2 linked regions of the Daphnia pulex genome follow. The protein of the gene in region 1 purifies or fractionates together with the protein of each later gene. This does not show direct contact. Links are inferred from orthologs where the notes say so. Each region holds a gene or a part of one and is shown on either strand. Other genes may lie near its edges. The genes, in order: DNA polymerase epsilon catalytic subunit A-like and MMS19 nucleotide excision repair protein homolog.

The links.
Region 2: the proteins of DNA polymerase epsilon catalytic subunit A-like (region 1) and MMS19 nucleotide excision repair protein homolog purify together in Homo sapiens (affinity purification with western blotting; 3 studies listed by BioGRID and IntAct, with this or other methods). This does not show direct contact. The link is inferred for Daphnia pulex from reciprocal best matches to the Homo sapiens genes POLE and MMS19.

Annotation. Positions count from the first base shown.
Region 1 is NC_060026.1:11,192,447-11,195,735, reverse strand, and holds part of DNA polymerase epsilon catalytic subunit A-like, read left to right. Parts: intron 1-57; coding exon 58-490; intron 491-548; coding exon 549-854; intron 855-917; coding exon 918-1,187; intron 1,188-1,249; coding exon 1,250-1,557; intron 1,558-1,697; coding exon 1,698-2,338; intron 2,339-2,406; coding exon 2,407-2,494; intron 2,495-2,560; coding exon 2,561-2,800; intron 2,801-2,877; coding exon 2,878-2,970; intron 2,971-3,029; coding exon 3,030-3,289. UniProt on the Homo sapiens protein: Catalytic component of the DNA polymerase epsilon complex. Participates in chromosomal DNA replication.
Region 2 is NC_060026.1:4,198,329-4,202,589, forward strand, and holds the start of MMS19 nucleotide excision repair protein homolog, read left to right. Parts: upstream 1-1,378; 5' UTR 1,379-1,421; coding exon 1,422-1,509; intron 1,510-1,691; coding exon 1,692-1,936; intron 1,937-1,992; coding exon 1,993-2,137; intron 2,138-2,207; coding exon 2,208-2,395; intron 2,396-2,463; coding exon 2,464-2,625; intron 2,626-2,691; coding exon 2,692-2,905; intron 2,906-2,965; coding exon 2,966-3,078; intron 3,079-3,156; coding exon 3,157-3,277; intron 3,278-3,340; coding exon 3,341-3,646; intron 3,647-3,702; coding exon 3,703-3,985; intron 3,986-4,047; coding exon 4,048-4,261. Other genes in the region: glycerol-3-phosphate acyltransferase 3-like, read right to left, coding at 1-120, 183-530, 592-744. UniProt on the Homo sapiens protein: Key component of the cytosolic iron-sulfur protein assembly (CIA) complex, a multiprotein complex that mediates the incorporation of iron-sulfur cluster into apoproteins specifically involved in DNA metabolism and genomic integrity.

The sequences.
Region 1 (3,289 bases):
TAACTTTAACGTAGCGTTTCAATACCGATACTTAATAATCAATTGTTTTTGGAGTAGGAAAACAGCTTTTATGTTGACACCGTTCGAGCCTTCCGTGATCGACGATATGAATATAAAAATCTGAATAAGACTGCCAAGAAGCAAATCGCCGAAGCAATTGCGCTTGGGGATGCCGGTGAAATTAAATCGGCTAAAAATCGTGAAGTGCTTTACGATTCCCTACAGCTTGCTCACAAGTGTATTTTGAACTCCTTCTACGGTTACGTCATGCGAAAAGGAGCCCGTTGGCACAGTATGGAGATGGCTGGAATTGTGTGTCACACTGGCGCTGGCATCATCCGGAAAGCTCGAGAGCTAATCGAACAAGTTGGTCGACCGCTTGAACTGGACACAGATGGTATTTGGTGTATGTTACCGTCATCTTTTCCGGAAAACTACGTGATCAAGACCTCAAGTCTCAAGAAACCCAAGATTACGATATCCTATCCAGGTAATGGCTACAATCAAAGACAAAAACATTTCAATTGATTAATATTACGTGTCTTTAGGAGCTGTATTAAATGTGATGGTGAAAGATGCCTTTACAAACAACCAGTATCACGAGTTGGTAGACCCAGAAACTTTGAGCTACGTCCAGCGTGACGAAAACTCGATTTTTTTCGAAGTTGACGGTCCGTATCTAGCGATGATTTTACCTGCGTCGAAAGAAGAAGGCAAAAAGTTAAAGAAACGATACGCCGTTTTCAACTTTGACGGCAGTCTTGCCGAATTAAAAGGATTCGAAGTGAAACGTCGTGGAGAACTTCAGCTCATCAAGATTTTCCAATCGTCTGTGTTTGAAGCGTTTCTCAAAGGTAAGAGAACATTTGCCAAAGAAAAAAATATCTGAAATGTAATGAAATTGTTTTTGTTTTCAGGTGATACTCTGGAAACATGCTACCAGGCTGTGGCTAAAATTGCAGATTACTGGCTTGATGTGTTATATTCAAAAGCCGAAAACCTCCCTGATTCCGAGCTATTTGAGCTGATTACCGAGAATCGATCAATGTCACGAAAATTAGAAGAATATGGTGGTCAAAAATCAACATCCATCAGCACAGCTAAACGTTTGGCAGAATTTTTGGGTGATCAGATGGTAAAAGATGCTGGGTTAAGTTGTCGCTTCATCATTTCAAAGAAACCAGAAGGTATGCTAAGTTGTTACTGGACAACAAATGATGAGAACTTTTTACATTTCCATTGTTTGCAGGTGCCCCTGTTACGGACAGAGCTATTCCGTTGGCAATTTTTCAATCTGAGCCCAGTGTTAAACGCCATTATTTGAAAAAATGGTTAAAAGACAATTCCATGACGGATTTTGACATTCGCACAATTTTAGATTGGAATTATTACATCGAACGTCTTGGAGGTTGTATCCAAAAAATCATTACTATCCCTGCCGCCTTGCAAGGCGTGGCTAACCCTGTACCCAGGGTCCAACATCCGGATTGGCTTCACAAGCGAATGCTAGAAAAAAATGACGTTCTAAAGCAGCGACGGATCAATGAAATTTTTAAGGTGCGAGCGATTTTATTTAAGTCACAAAAATTTTTTTTAAATGAATCGTTGAATTAAGTGTATAATTAGATTAAACCAAAAATGTTTCGCGACAAAGATTTTTTTACCATTATTATAATAATTATTAATTTTTATTTCAGGTGTCTATCAAGCCAGTTGGTGGCGATTCTAACTCGCAAGATTTGGGAGAAGTGGGTGACATAGAAGATTTGGGTGGAAGCAAAAATACCGAAAACAATCGACCTACGGTGACTTCGAAAAGGAAACGAGGCTCCAGCGAGTCAGCTAATGAATTGGATAAGAATTGGCGAGAAATCCTCGGTCCTCCACCACCGATGGGTAAACCTGGAGAAGAGCGTGAAATTTGGATTCGCTATCACAAAAAGAAGTGGGCTATTCAGTTGAAACAGCGAGCAGCCCGTCGAGGTAGAGAACAAAACAGCAACACTGGATCAGCTTCCGTCTCGACTTTTGGAGGAAATTCTGGAGCTGGAGTTTTAAGAACCAATTTGGGTGGATTCTTGCGACGCGCACAACAAACCCTTTTGTCATCCATGTGGCAAATTTTGCAGGTGATGGAAACATCACAGCCGGGCATGTTTCGATTGTGGGCGTTGGTTGGAAACGAACTTCATCAAATTCGGTTAACTGTGCCGCGTATTTTTTATTTGAATAAGAAGAAACCTTTGGAAAAAGAAGCTAGTAGTGAGTCAGCTGTCTGGCGAAAAGTTAATCGGATACTTCCTCGCTCTCACCGTGTCTATAATCTGTACGAATACAGGTAAATAGTAAAATTATAATTCTCACTCAAATAAGTATTAATCTATTTACTCTTTATATGATATTCAGCGTTCCCGAAGAAGTTTACCAGCAAAATTTCAATCAGTTAATGGCTGATCTGTCCACTTCAGACAACGCTGGAATTTATGAAACCCAGGTTTGAAAACGCACTTGTTTGAGTTCCAACGAAAAAACTTTGTTTCATTTTCACGTTTTGTTCCAGGTGCCACTTGATTTTCGTGTGCTAGTCCAGCTCGGATGTGTTTGTGCCGTCGATCGGAGTCAGCGTTACACGCCCACCGGAGATACCGAAAGTTTCAGCCTGTCGCAGTTGTCGTTCAAAACGTTGGCGCACCATCCGTATTTAGAATCGGGAATTGAAACGCTCAAGTATCTATACATCTACCATTACAAAAGTGGAAATAAAGTCATGTTGGTGCTATTTTCTCCACCAGCCAAAAAGGTCAGTATTAAAAAATAATAATAGCGACAGTTTTTTTTGTTTGTTTATCTATCTATTGATTTATTTTTACTTCTTAGGTCAACTTTTTTGTCGTTGACACTGTGCGGACCAACCAAATGCCGAATTTAGTTAATCTTTATAATGAGGAGCGGCTTAAAAAGCTATCGCAGGTATGCTATTCATATATCGTAATTTGTGTTATTATTTTAACTTCCACTTTCACGATTAGGCTGACGTTGTCGAGAGTTCCGTGCCCGCTAGAGATTATTCATTTTCAATTCAAGTGGAGACAGATATTCGCCAAGTCTACCGTCAAATGAATCGTTTACTGCAAACGTACAAAGATGAGAAACGAGGACCAACTTTTGTGGCTATTCAGTCTCCCCAAGATCTTCATACGACTGCATCGCAAATTCAAACACTTAACGAATTCCCGCTAGTTCCCATCCATAGTACTGATCCCGACGGATTATACAATGTGCTCGACTG
Region 2 (4,261 bases), about 7.0 Mb from region 1:
TGTAACTCTGCTTGGTAGAAGAATGAAGTAGCGTACAAAGAAACCCAAAATCCAAGTAATAGTAAGGCGAACACTGATGAACTCATAGTGGCGGTTTGTGCGAGTAAGAAGATTCCAAGACTGGGAAGTACAAATTTAATGTTAGATACTGTGAACCAAATTGGTAGGTGAGATTTGAGTACCTTTAGTTCTTCAGCTACAAATCTTCCTGTAACTTCGTCCTCAATGATTGCTTCCACCCCCGCATGAACAAAGTCAAGGCAGTCAGATAGAATAAAATCATTATTCAAACTGTTAAATGATCTGTTTTTGGGGATGGAGGGTGTCTTTGGAGATGAGTTTCCATTAGGTAAAAGTACTAGATCTTCCTTGGACATTGCTGAAGATTTTATAATGGCATGTCCAGTTGATAATTTGTCCTCAGCTTGTTCCACTGCTTCCACAACATTTCCATTTGCATAGCCATTCTTTCCTTTATTGGTCTCTAGTTTCTTTTGCTGCTCAGCAATTTCTATCCTACCAGTTCCATACTAGTATAAAAAAGATTATGAGCATTACGAAAACTCAAATACTAAGAATAAGACATATTACCTGAAAGACCTTCAATAGTAGTTTAACATATCCTGATCGGAAATTCCTTGACCAGTTGCATGTCATCACTAGCACCAAGCAACCAATTACCAGGATAACAGGCATAAAAATTATACTAAGTACTAGCAAAAGAATTAAATTTTCGAGCCCCATTGTAATATTGTTGGTGGGAGCTCCAGTTCAAGAAGTTGCTGTCGTTGTCGAACACCAAGGCAACAGATGTCGGGACCACGTTAAAGGAAGTGGTGGAAGAGAGAGATTTCAAGGTTGACAAGAGAAATGCCGATTTGAGTTGTTGTGCGTGAGTGGAATTCGCGTAACGTAGTCTACTAAAAGACTGCTACGACAGACGTTTTGGGACTCTCGTTTATAATGGGACGTTCAGGCTACAACTGACTTCAAAAATACGTCTGTCTATTGGTTCTATGCGTTGCGCGTGCGACCTTGACGCGATTAATTATCTTTTTCTAGTCCTCCCATGCTTACCAGCACGATTTATCGGAATCACATAAAAGTTTACTTTGGAAGTCTCCACCCATCTGTTTTTTTTCCAATGCGTAATGAAAAATCTAGAAAATACAAAACCTGGGTGATATTTTCCTCCGTTCACGGAAGCTATTTCAAAACATGTTGGAATGCGGTTATTCAATATTTAATTACGAAATTTGTTACAAAAGTCTGTTGCTTGTTTACAATTACATAATCTGTGACAAAATTATATATTCGATGAATAATCAGTTCATGAAAAGAAGAATGTGAGAGGTAGGCAACCATGTGTCATTTAAAAGCAGATGACGTTTACATAATCAGGGCAGAGGTAAACAGTAAACATGGCGATCTCGACTGCGATTCACAAACTCAGAGATTCGTTTAATTCAGAAGAATCCGCGAATGAATCTATTCGCTGTATTAGTCAATGTAAGTTTTTATAATTATAACTGAAAGAAACATTTTTTCGTACTCCGCTCAAGTGTTCGAAATTAGAAAAAAAGAAGGAAAAACACGTGTCCATCATGAGCGCGCCAGATTTAAAACATATGTGTAGAAAATGTTTAATAATTTTAACAAGTTAACATCAATGACTTTGTTTAATTTTTCAGCAATTGCATCAAAAGAATTAACAATTCTCAAGCTAGTTGAAGATTTGCAACCAGATTTACTGAATCAACAAAATACTCACCGATGCAAAGCAGTGTCAACTATTGGCACAATCTTGGAACAGTTGGGGCCTGAATTGAAGGGACTAAATGAAAAGGAAGTAGAACTTGTAACAGAGTTCTTCTGTAGCAAGCTAAAAGATCATCATTCAATACTACCTGCCGCACTGCAAGGCCTCCATGCTTTGGTATGAAAAAAAATACTATTCAATACAAAAGTGTTAAATTTAATACCTTGTCATAGAGCACAGCACCTAAGCTTTCCCCTGGATTGGCCAGATTGATATCCCAGAGCATTTTTCAAGATGTTCATTGTCAATCACAATTGCAGCATGACAGAAGAGCAATTTACAAAACAGTGAAAAACCTCTTGGCTTTTCATCTAAAAGGTCTAAATTATAAATTTCTAAATATATATGCTGTGTTAGTATTTTCTAAATTTTATTTTTAAACTTACAGAATTACAAGACCTAGGCCAAGATTTTGTTTTTGGTCTCATCCAGTTAGCTGATCAAGAAAGAGACCCACGTAACTTGTTGATTCTCTTCAGTGTTTTCCCTGTAGTTGCTCGTTACTTCAGATTCGAGCCGTTTACAGAAGAGTTTTTCGAAGTTTTTAGTTGCTACTTCCCTATCGATTTCACCCCTGTAAGTCTCTTGAAATTTTCAGTTTATTGCTACATGTCAGTAAATCCTAATACTCTTATTTTGAATAGCCAGCTAATGATCCTTATGCAGTAACTAAAGAACAGCTCTGTGATGGATTACGACAGTGCCTTGCCGGTAGCCCTCATTTCGCAGAGTATTGTTTGCCGTTACTGCAAGAGAAATTGGAATCTGACTTGGTTTCAGCTAAAGTAGAAGCCTTAAAAACCTTGGTAATTTTCCCCTTCTATATTTAGTCTTTATGCTTCAATTCTATTGTAATTTTCGACTGTTTGCAGGAACTCTGCTGTCAGACGTATCAACCAGGCCAACTTGAAAAATGGGTGGACTCTTTCTGGACGAGTATACGTAGAGAAGTCTTGATCAATGTCAATACCGACGATCTTGAACATGCCTCACTTGATGCTCTTGCCGCTTTATCCCGAGCTTTTACAACAGACGGAGAATTTAACAGTCCAGCTTTTACCAAATTACTAAAAAATGTGCTGACCGGTAAATGTGTAGCAAATATTCGTTTAAGAGTATATTTAACTGTAGATTGTATATTAATAGAATGTCAGGGGCACTTGTGTGAACCGGAACGGCGATTAATGACTCCGAGCAGCTACATTTTGCTAGCGATATGCTCGGGAAGTGCGCCCGCGTGTGCATTAATTGTTAGCCAGGTATTATTCTTATTCTCTTATAGAACTACAAACATTTTTTTTAAAATCTACTTAACAGAAACCCATTTCTCTAAATAGGTCATTCCCCTTTTGATGGACCAGTACAGGATCAGGCCACAGTCAAATCCACGTCAGTTCATCCTTAATAGTTTGAACAAAATGGTACATGCTGGTCTCTATGGTTTCACTGAAGCAAACGGTACCACATTTTAAAAATTATTAAAATTAGAAACATTTTCATATCTTTGGTTATATTTTACAGTTGCTCAAAGTGGTGTAGCTTCTCTGATACCAAAATTGTTAGAGCTGTACCTTGAGGTCTTACAAGAGGATGACGCAGTTCTTCGCAATCTAAGTCTGCAAGGATTGAGCCATTTAATTGGCACCTGTTTGAACCACCAAGACTTGGAAAAGGTCAATGGAACACTTTTAGATTTACTCCAGAAATCAACAGCCACCGATAGCGTTATTGCAGAGATTGGTCATTTCTTTTGCAAAAGCGCAGAGAAGAATGAAAACTTGTTCCTTGAGCAAGTCTTGGTTAAGCTGTTAGATATAGCCGTCTCAGGTAATTTGAATTTTACCAATTAAAATACGGAAAGAGGTTATCTGTTGGTTGTTTAGGCAAAGCCAATGCGGTTTTTCTTGTGTTATCAACTCTACCGACGTTGTCCCAGATTCGTGCGCAGGTGGTATCCCGACTAATGACCGTGCTCGAACAACCCGAACTGGAATTACGACTTGAAGTACTCAAAGTTTTGACTCATTTCGCACAAAGGGACGAACTAGAAATATTCCAGCAATTGCACCGCTGGGGATTGAAAACATTGGAAGATGGAGATCCTCCGGCGTCACTCCAAGCCACTTGTGTTTTATTGAGAAATCTGGCTTCCAGTTTATCTTCCGCGTAATTCTATTAGATCAAAATGTTGGAAGAAATGTTTTTGTAATCTTCTCGGCATTGTACAGGAAAGCCACGGAATTCATCAACGAACAAACCGAACAATACGTAGGTCAACATCTTGCTCGTTCTCCGTGGACGTTGTCCATAATGGAAGCGACATTGGGATCATTGGATGCCACACCTAGCGGACACAGTCTTGAACGACTAGTTAACACACTAGAACCCATTACTGTTTGTCATCCAAAAGCCGACGTCAGACTGTCTGCCTGTCGGCTAATA